Coturnix japonica: one gene and its partner. The protein of the gene in region 1 interacts with the protein of each later gene in a pairwise test. Links are inferred from orthologs where the notes say so. Each region holds a gene or a part of one and is shown on either strand. Other genes may lie near its edges.

Region 1 (5,328 bases):
TAGCTTACTGACCACAGCAAAGGAGAGGAAAGTATTCTGCCAAAAACCAATGCTTTGTTGCTTATTTTCTCTTTACTGTACACTCTGAAAAGCATTAGAGGGATATATTTTAATGTAATATTTAACAGAATTTAGACTTTGGTCAAATATCTTGCAAGCATTATCTTGCCAGCTTACCTGATCGCTACTTTTGTCATTACTTAGTCCTTTTTAAAAGCATTTTCTTGGGCTCGCCAATACTCTCCATCATGCTGCCCATTTCTTCAATTCCCCTATAAAGTCTTAGTCTTAGTAGGCGTTTAACTTTCCAAACAGGTATTTTCAAATAGCAGTTTTCATATAGAATCATAGAATTACCCAGGTTGGAAAAGATCTTGAAGATCATCAAGACCAACCGCAGCCTAATATAATAGAGGCATCAGCTGGAAAGCTACAAGTGAGCAACGTAAGGAAAAGAAGTATTTTCCTTCAGCAAGTGGGAGGAGGGGTTAAGCGGGAGCATTATCTAGCACAGCCCTGGCTCCACACCTTCTGCAGGGCTGCCTGTTCCAGCAGCTGCCAGCACAGGACCCAGGGGCTCGCCCGGAGCCCATGTTCCCCAGCTGCAGCGTGCTGATACACGCTTGGCCATGGGAATGCCACCTCCAGACCTGGGGGGAGAGCGGCACAAACCGCCCTCACCACAGTTGTGCCACTTCAGCCCTGCTGGAAATGAAAAAGGGAAGGAAGGGGTGGGGGCATTCATCAACTATGCCATGTTATTCACCACATCTTGCAGACCGTTAGAGCGCTCGATAGGTGACACAGCAGAACCGCGGGCCATTAATGCGGTTCATCTTTCTTCCCTCAAACAGGATTTTACATATATGCAAAGGCTTCTGAAAACGGGTTACACAGTTCTTCAGTTAAGACCTCATACACTTTCTCCCTACCCTGTCCCAGTGTTCAAGCATGCTTAACATGTCACCTACAACCTGAGCCGGATTACTGCTCCTCCAAATTCAGTTTATTACTTCTTGATCTGCTCTTAGAAGACACTGAAAACACCTATTCGTTCCCACCTGTAGCATCTTCTTCCATTTCTGAAGTTTGTTGTTGCGCATGTTATTCCTCCCTTAACTACTCCCCTCCTACAGCAAAATGGATCTCTCCAATTAGGTTCTTTCTTAGATGCCTTACCCCCATTATGTCCCCACACACATTATACGACACCGATCTAACTTCCAGGTGCCAGTCCTTCACTCAGCCCATCTCCTTCCAAATGGCAGTACGAAATGGATGTATCCTAACATATGAATTACTCTGAGCTGCCGCTTATTTCACCTCCTCTTCCACCCCTCCTCTTCCATTTTTTTCCCTGCTCGTACAGCCCTTCATTCCCTGAACTCTGCTATCTGTAGCGCACTTGAACGCCCTTATCTTTTACAGGCGAGCGTGCAGTGACTACGTATTTCTGGTTGCGTTTCTGCACACCGAGATACTTTCCATATGCTTCTGAACTCCTAAAATTCCCTACAAGATTAATTTGTTAAACCAATCACTATTTCACAGTAATTCTCACTCTCCGAAAGCTACAACAGTTCACACAATAACGTAACCTGCTGTTTAGAACTGGAATTGCTTTGTGACTTGTTTGCTATTTTGTTGTCCTTTTTGGGGGGGGTGGGGGGGAGATGCATTCAAGTTTGAATACAGAGCTCTCCATTCTCTCCTTCTCAATATAGAACCGTGGCAGTCCAATTACATTAGCTACAAGCAATGAAATAGATCTGAAAGGCGGAACCTGTTCAAATGGTTCTTAAAAGAATACTGGAATGGATAAGAGCAAAGGTGTTTCTGAGGCCTGCCTCAAGGCCACCAGTCATGGCAAGGATGGCAGTGGAAGTGTATGCTGCAAGCTCCCAATGCTTGCTTTTACAAGCAGTAATCAGCATCTTTGAATGGACAGGGAAGAAAGAGTGAGGAGATAAGGAGGCTTTGCTACCCCGAACACACCAAGCAGCAGAGGCAGCACCAGCCAGCAGTGACACTCAGCTGGTGACTTCTGGAGATAACAGGACAGAGCCACCAACCACCCCAGCATCTGAACGGTGTATTCTAGGGCTTTCTGAACCCACGTCAAAGCCAACCTGGGGTGGTGTTCAATGTGAACACATCTAATGCCAATGACCAGAGAGCTTTTATGACGACAGTAGATTCCAAGGGCTACTTTGAGGAACCTGCTGCAGACCTGAAGCTGGTTTGGGGTCGGACCATCCATATAGTGAAGCACAGCCCAGGCCTGGGGTACAGCACAGTCAGGTTCACACGTTTGCACTGCCAGCTATACCAGAGCCTGACCTGCTTTGCTTCCGTTAGCAAAAACAAAAGCAAAAATATGCTATTAGCTATGCCCCTGCATGTGATGCGCTATAAATATACTTACATCTTTTGCCATGTTACCCCAGCCTAGCAGGCAATCCTCTTACAATCCTGCTGCCTGCGGGACGCTGGGACGACGATGCTATTCTCTAGAAAGCAAACACAACCACCATCAGTCAGCTCTCCACAATGAGACGAGGCAAACTTTGCACCGCCCCGATTCCCGTTGTGCTTCAGAACAGAACCCTATGGGAGAGCGCAAAGTTCCCCCCCATGCCCCGTTCTATCGAAGCGACGCCCCCGCTCACAGCCAGCACGTGGGAGCGACGCCCCGCCGCCCACCCTCACGGCTTGTGGTGGGGGTTGCACGGCACGCTCGGGCGGGCCCCATCCCGTCGGCGGGCACACGCAGGCCTCTGGGCCGCCCCCCTCCCTTCCCGCCCGCAGCCGGAGACCGCAGCCGCCGGGGCCTCCGCTCAGCGGCGGGTGGCCACGCCGATGGCGGCTCCGCGGGCGCCTCCCATCCTTCCCTCCGTATCCTGGGGCCGCAGCCGCTCGCACCTGAGCGGCCCAATGCGGAGATCGCCGGCTCCATCCCCCGCCGCCGCTGTCCCCCCAGCCCGTGTCCCGGCGCCGAGCTGCCGCTGCGGAGGCGCCCGACTGCACATGTGCGGCGGGCGGGCGGCGCGCGCGGGCCCGCGAGCCCGGCGGGAGGGGGCAGGGGCGGAGGGAGGGAGCGGGCGCCCAACGGCCGCAATGTGTGTGTATATATGGGGGGGGGCGGCTGGACGCGCTCCGTGCCGGCACGGCGGGGTGTGGGGGGGCGGCGTGCGGGCTGTCACCGTGCGGCCAGAGCACACCTGCACGGGGGGCGGCAGCGGGGAAAGGGGGGGGGGGGGGGGGGTGAACTAAAGCGGCTGTCCCTGCCCGCGATCCCACCGTCCGCTTTCTCTCTCTTCCCTTTCGTTCTATTCCCCGTGGGGATTTGGGGGGGGGGACAGCGCCGGTGAACCGGGGAATGAGGGGGAGCCCGAAAAAAAAAAATTGAAACTTACACTTTTGTGCGTCCCACCGGCGTGACGCTGCGCGCTGACGTCACGGGGTGTAGCGTGCCTTGCACGGGCACACGCGGAGCGCAGCAGCCAACCGGCCGGCACGGCGGGGGCGGAGGGAGCATGCGCGGGATTTTCGCGCTTTCCGACTCCCCGCCCTGCAACGCTGGCGGCGGGAAGCGGCGGCGCCAGGTTGATGTTCGGGCGGGCACGTGGTGTGCGGCCATCAGTGCGGTGACCGGCACATGGCGGGTGGGGATGGGCACAGCTGGGGAGCACGGCAGCCATGGAGGCATCGTCCCTGGAGGTGTCATCATCATCACAGTATCACAGTCTGGTGCGGGTTGGAAGGGACCTTAGAGATCATCGAGTCGAACCCCCGGGATTCGAGTCTCTGTGTAGCAGAGCGGCACTTCTACCACTTGCGCCACAGGGGGATTCGAACCCAGCGCCTTTGGTGTTGCAACGCGGCATTCCTACCACTGCGCCACCGGGGTACGCGGTGTTGAGGAGCTGTGTGGATGTGGCACTGAGAGATGTGGTCAGCAGGCATGGGCTCATAGTTGGACTGGATGGTAGAATCATAGAGCCATAGAATGGCCTGGGTTGAAAAGGACCACAATGATCATCTGGTTTCAACCCCCCTGCTATGTGCAGGGTCACCAACCACCAGACCAGGCTGCCCAGAGCCACATCCAGCCAGCCCTCCAGGGATGGGGCATCCACAACCACCTGTTCCAGTGCGTCACAACCCTCTGTGTGAAAAACTTCCTCCTCTGTGTCTGCCCCACTCATTGCTGTGGGTACCACGGCCACGCATTGCCCTGCACTGATAGCCGCCATGGCCCCATCTCCCCATCCTTCCTTCCTTGTGGGACATGGTAGCAGCAGCTTCTCTGCAAACAAGAATTGAGCACGTTTCAGAATGAGAACAGATTACAACTCCAAACGTCAGTTTGCTGCGACTCCACAGCGGACACAGATATGAGGAGAACGTGTTTTAACTAACCTGCAATCAGAAACCTGCCAGAGAACGTGCACAGGGACCCATTCTGATTGTTGGAAATTGAAGCCAAGCCATCTTAAGAGAGGGACCTGTGAGAGCTCCTTAAATACAGCCCTCATACCAGCTGATAAGCTTGTCAGCATTTGGCCTCCTTGGGTGGAACTATCTCCCAATTCTCAAATTTCTGCTCTATTTTAAGAAATAAAAATACAGCTTGCCACTGTAACCCTAAGAGTTTTGCCATTCCCTGATGTAGGTTGTATCCCCCAAGGCAGGATCAGCTGTCCATAGGCACTCCGGTCACTTGATTGTCCAGTTTGTCCTTTATCTGCAGAAATTGGGATTTCTTAGTCTCTCTTGGTGGCTCACCGTCCCTACCATCAAGAAGCCTCTCCCCACTGGCAGTAGTAATTACTCAATGGAGTCTGTGGGAGATCCAAAGAAACACGCTTCCTGCTCCGTGAAGCTGGTAGGCCTGTATCTTTATCTTCTGCCTGTTGTTTCCTTCAGGGCAGGGTGGGCTGCATGATTTCCAGCCTTTAAAACATCTTGCTGCTTTTCCTTCTCCTTTCACTGGCATCGCTGCCGCCTTCACTGTCAGATCAGCTAACGGTGGCTTGACTGGTACTTGCTGTTGTTAATAAGCTATTGCTGTTTCCAGCCATGCTACAAACACTGCTAGCACAGCTTATCCTTGTCACTTGGGGGTCCAGTTTCCTCTACACTCCACGTTGCCCATGTGCTGGAGCACTGCCAGGATTGCTTACGGAGCAGAAATACATTCCTTCCCTAGACAAAACCCAGGAGTGCTTTTGTGGTTAACTGTTTTGGGTTCATTCCAGCAGGCAGCAAGACCACACAAGGTTTCTCACATCCTTCATCAAACATCATCCTATAGCACTGTTTTCT
Region 2 (5,582 bases), on another chromosome or scaffold:
ACTGGTGAAGCTGCTGTTTAATTTATTATATGACAAAGATCTACAAATCAAGAGATACCAGTGTATAGTCTGAGAGCAGAAAAGGCACTCAACAGCTTGGTTAATGTTAGACTGTTATTTATGTACACCTGACCACTCCTTCATTTTAAAGCCCCAAAGTAGTTATGGCAAACACGCTCTCATATAAAAATCTCTGATGCTGGTCAATAAAAGACTGCAAAACATCACTGTTACTTGTGCCTTGTACTGCAAAGTATTTCATATCTTATCAGACTTTACCACTAAGTAATATTCCGGCCTAATGCTTCAACAGAACTATATTAGGTATGTTACAATTTCCCATTTGTTTACAGCATGCATCACCACTGTAAAAAAACACAACAAAAGAACATGAAATACTTCAAGGGTAACGCATGGAATGCAGCCACTTACTTTTTACAACTGGTACGTCATCATCTAAACTCAAGTCAAGCATTGGTGTCTGAGGAAAAAAAAAATCAAGGTGTAAGTAATGCCAGATGCAAACAGTAACAGGAGAACTGACAGCTCAACAGAGCAATGTGAAGGAATCTCACTCAGTAGAAGAACAGTAGTTGCAATTAGTCGTGGGTTGCTGTGGCTTAAAATGCTCCTTCAGTTACGTGTCTTAACACATGTGCCACTTTTGACAGATGGCTGATGGCTGCACTCAAGTTTATCACCATCCTTCCTGTATCGGTCAGTCCCAAATGAGACACAGCACTCCAGAATCACAGAATTGGTTGGAAGGGACCTCTAGAGATCATCAAGTCCAACCCCCCTGCCAAAGCAGGCTCCCTACACCATGTCACACAGGTAGGCATGCAGGCGGGTCTTAAATATCTCCAGAGAAGGAGACTCCACCACCTCCCTGGGCAGCCTGTTCCAGTGCTCCATCACCTGCACTGTAAAGAAGTTCTTCCACACATTCGTGCGGAACTTCCTATGCTGTACTTTCATCCCATTACCCCTAGTCCTATCCCCATGCACTGCTGAAAAGAGACCAGCCTCACCACTATGGCTCCCACACCCACAGAAGCAAATACTTGACAAGCAAAGGAGAACTGCATACACCTCAGTGCAGGATATACCGATATCTCATGTTTAGCCCACTGTCCATACAGATTCTCAGGTCAGGACAGGACTCTTCAGCAGGATAATTCCATAACATCTCACTTCCCAGCCTTTACCACATCAAGTTACACTTCCAGGTATAGGATTCAGACTTAATTTTCAAATTCCTTGTTCAAGTTGATCATCTCCTTGATGATCCATCCCTCCAGCCTATTCCCAGAGGTTTCTAACATCTCCAGCCTTATCTGTGTCTGCTTTCACTAAACCACTTCTTCCCCTTAGCAGCAAATTCACATTTTCCTTCACTCACCCTTCCTTGGCAGTTAAAAAGCTCCAGTCACCCTCGATGATGTCCTTACAGGCCTCCACCCCTTCATCTTTCCAAGCTGCCTCTCCCAATATTTCAGTGATGTGTTGCCTGAATAAGCTGAGTCCCGAAGTCTGCTCTCCCAAAGTCCCAAAGCACGTGCTGTGCCAGGGGAGGTTCAAGTTCAATACCAGAAAATGTTTGTTTTTTTTCTTGGAAAGAGTGGTGATCCATTGGAAAAGGCTACCAAGGGAGGTGGTACAGTCACCATCCAGCACAGCCACTCAGCCCTTCCCCACGCCTTGCACTCAGTCCCCACAGCACGCTGCAGACATACAAGCAGGTGGAGCTCTTGCTACATACCTCATGGACAGCACAGGAGCAGACCTGAGCTAGATGACCAGGTTAACTTGGTGCTTAACATCACCAGAGTCTGATGAGAGGCTGATTGCAAATAGTGCACTCAGGTCTGAGAAAATACCTGAGAGGGAGAGAGCCCTGGACAACAGGGCACTGTAAAGAGTCTCTGTTGCCCTATGGTGTCCTGGGAGCACCCTATAGAATCTATAGGGCCCCAATTCCTCCGTTACAGCATTTACGGGATCTCTATGGGAAATGGTTTTAAGTTAAAAGAAGGAAGATTTAGGTTGGATGTTAGGGGGAAGTTCTTCACTAGGAGAGTGGTTAGGTCCTGGAACAGGCTGCCCAGGGAGGTTGTGGATGCCCCGTCCTTGGAGGTGTTCAAGACCAGGTTGGACGGGGCCCTGGGCAACCTGATCTAGTAAAGGTGTATGTTTGGCGGCCCTGCCAGGCAGGGGGGTTGGAACTACATGATCCTTGAGGTCCCTTCCAACCTGGGTCATTCTGTGATTCTGTGTGATTCTATGCTCCTATACTCCTGAATGCTCCCCCCACAAAGGCTCTAGAAGGCCCTGGGATCCCCCCTACAGGGCCCAGAACACAAACCCAACCCACAAGGCCTATAACACCTCTATAAGCCTCACGAGGCCACTCTGCCTCACAGCTCCCCATAGGCCTCGGCTGCCGATGCCACTTTCCGACCATCCTTCGCTGCCTTCCCAGCTTCGGTCCCAGCTTCACCACCTCCTCCTTGTCCTTCCCAATGGCCCCCAGCAGCTCTGTCTCCTCTTTCTAGTTCTGCATTTTTTGTTTTTGGCACCGTGTCAACTTGTTCTTTGTAAAGAGACAGAACCGAAACTGTTTTCTCTTTTAAAACAGCTTTTTAAGGGATTACATTTCATCACGTTCCAGATTTTAGCGCTTAAAATGTACTGGGTCTCTATTAAGTCCACCACTCAACTCTCTGCAGTCATATGTACCCATTAATTAGAAGCACTGGTGGTGAAGCACTCCTATTTTGGCTGGGAAACCAAGTTTTAAATCAAACCTCTCCACTCTACCCGTAAAGAGACAGGGGGGTTGGAACTACATGATCCTTGAGGTCCCTTCCAACCCGGCTCATTCTGTGATTCTGTGTGATTCTATAAAGAGCTACATTAGAAAAGCTCTATCCTGACGTCCTCCCGCTCCCAGCAACCCGCAGCGCCGTCCCTCCCCACACACCCCTCCCTCCCTCCGCAGCAGGATCCAAGCCCCAACCCAGCCCATCCCAGCCCCGCCCTCTGGCCGTTCCCAGGCTGTATTTCCATCCCTATTCCCCGCCCGCTCCGTACCGCGCTCAGACGCAGCGTGTCCGGCCGCAGCGGCCTCAGGCGCTCCCACTTGGAGGCGGCGGCCATGTTGGCGCGCCCCCTCCTCTTCCTCCTTCACGCCGGCGGCGGACTTCGATGAGACGGCAGAGCACTCAAAACCCTACCCGATGTTGCTGGGGGCCCGTGCGGGATAAAGGCGCCTCCATCCCCGCCCCACCTCCGGGTGGAGGGGGTGCCGGGGCCGCCTGGGCTCAGCGCTGCGGCCGCTCCTACCCTCCCCCACCTGTGGGCGGCCGGGCGGCGGATGGAGCGTTTGCGCATGCGCGCACCTGGCCAAGGTGACGCAAAGGCCGAGCACCAATCCGGTGCCGCGGGGATTTCCCGCTCTCTCGCAGCGGAAGCGCCGTGTGCATCGTTACCTCAGTGCCCTCATCACTGAGCGCTGTGTGGGGGTCAATGGAACAGGCTGCACAGGGGGATGGACGAAAGACTCAACATGAGCCAGCAGTGCGCTCTGGGAGCCCGGAAAGCAAATGGGATCCTGGGCTCCATCAGGAGAGGGGTGGTCAGCAGGGATAAGGAGGTGATTGTCCCTCTCTACTCGGCTCTTGTGAGGCCCCATCTGTTGTACTGTGTCCAGGTGTGGAGCCCTCAGTACAAGAAAGACATGGAGATTTTGTTAAGGGTCCAGAGGAGGGCCACAAAGATGATCAGGGGGCTCCAGCACCTCCCCTATGAGGACAGGCTGAGGGAGTTGGGTTTGTTCAGCCTGGAGAAGAGAAGGTTGCGGGGTGACCTCATTGCAGCCTTTCAATACCTGAAGGGAACTTACTCCCAGGAGGGGAGTAAACTCTTGGAAAGGGCTGATAATAGCAGGACACGGGGAAATGGTTTTAAGTTAAAAGAGGGAAGATTTAGGTTGGATGTTAGGGGGAAGTTCTTCACTAGGAGAGTGGTTAGGCCCTGGAACAGGCTGCCCAGTGAGGTTGTGGATGCCCCGTCCTTGGAGGTGTTCAAGGCCAGGTTGGACGGGGCCCTGGGCAACCTGATCTAGTAAAGGTGTATGTTTGGTGGCCCTGCCAGGCAGGGGGGTTGGAACTACATGATCCTTGAGGTCCCTTCCAACCCGGGTCATTCTGTGATTCTGTGTGCTTCTGTGACACATCACTGATACCTAAAAACACACACTTTCTTACGGGCAACATAATGCTCTCTAAGTATTCAATAGCAGAAAGTACAGTCCAATAAGGAATGAAGATTATCCTCTTGCTGTTATACTCAACTGGAGGCATATCTTCTCCAATTGGATCGATTTTCGACCCACCACCAGAGGGCGGTCATTCCATTTGCTGAATGGGATGTTTTAACATTCATATAACCTACAACAATGATTTCGTTAAAATTTTCTGGTTTCAAATGCAGTCTCCCCTTAAATGAAATCTTGCAGCTGGGCTTTCCTGTAGATGCATGTGTGCAATTGCAAAGATGAGCCAAAGCTAATATTGTCCTGAAAAAGTGAATAAGTATGAAAGCATTAAAGACAAATTATACATGTAAGTATCATATGGATGCAAGTATCTGTCTATATTTTTGTATATCACAGAATCACACAGAATCACAGAATGACCCGGGTTGGAAGGGACCTCAAGAATCATGTAGTTCCAACCCCCCTGCCTGGCAGGGCCACCAAACATACACCTTTACTAGATCAGGTTGCCCAGGGCCCCGTCCAACCTGATCTTGAACACCTCCAAGGACGGGGCATCCACAACCTCCCTGGGCAGCCTGTTCCACTCTCCTAATTTAATCTCCTATATTAATATGTCTGCTTGTTTAAACTTCCTTATCTCATTCAAATCCTGTTAAAGTTCTGACCTCTACATAATGATTATATATAAAGAATTTAAATGCTACCAAGTGATTTTTTACACTGTAAAATGTAAGAATTAAAATGTGTTTCTGGTAATAGTGCTTTCTTTCTTGTCCTCAGCTTAATATGGCTGGAAAAAGAAAGATGATGAAGGGCCTGGAGCATCTCCCATATGAGGAAAGGCTGAGTAACATGGGTCTGGAGAAAAGAAGACTGAGATCGAGGTTTATTTGCAGGGGGCACATGGATGAGCTCAGACTCTTTGCAGTGATGTGTAGTGATAGGACAAGGAGCAGTGTCCAAAAACTGGAACAAATGAAGTTCCACACAAATATGCAGAATGACTTCTTTACAGTGAGGGTGGCAGCAATGGAACAGGCTGCGCAGAGAGGCTGTGGAGTCTCCTTCTTTGGAGATATTCAAGACCCATCTGGATGCCCACCTGTGTGACCTATTGTAGAGTACCTGCTTTAGCAGGGGTTTGGATTCAGTGATCTCTTGAGGTGCATTCCAACCCCTGCAAGTCTGTGATTCTGTGAAGAAGGAGTGCCTTAACATTATGGGAAACTGAAAGGGAATTAAAATTATGGGAAATTATGGGATGTGATTATTTTCCCATTCTTGCAGCTACCAAAATATC

Evidence for each region. The genes of interacting proteins can lie anywhere in the genome.
Region 2: the proteins of TFDP1 (region 1) and E2F6 interact in binary tests that used the Homo sapiens proteins (3 or more experiments, as listed by UniProt). The link is inferred for Coturnix japonica from reciprocal best matches to the Homo sapiens genes TFDP1 and E2F6.

Annotation. Positions count from the first base shown.
Region 1 is NC_029516.1:123,725,750-123,731,077, forward strand, and holds the start of TFDP1 (transcription factor Dp-1), read right to left. Parts: upstream 3,533-5,328; 5' UTR 3,417-3,532; intron 3,051-3,416; exon of another isoform or gene 2,923-3,050; intron 2,511-2,922; 5' UTR 2,438-2,510; coding exon 2,426-2,437; intron 1-2,425. UniProt on the Homo sapiens protein: Can stimulate E2F-dependent transcription.
Region 2 is NC_029518.1:88,733,614-88,739,195, forward strand, and holds the start of E2F6 (transcription factor E2F6), read right to left. Parts: upstream 3,397-5,582; 5' UTR 3,160-3,396; coding exon 3,094-3,159; intron 482-3,093; coding exon 433-481; intron 1-432. UniProt on the Homo sapiens protein: Inhibitor of E2F-dependent transcription. Binds DNA cooperatively with DP proteins through the E2 recognition site, 5'-TTTC[CG]CGC-3'. Has a preference for the 5'-TTTCCCGC-3' E2F recognition site.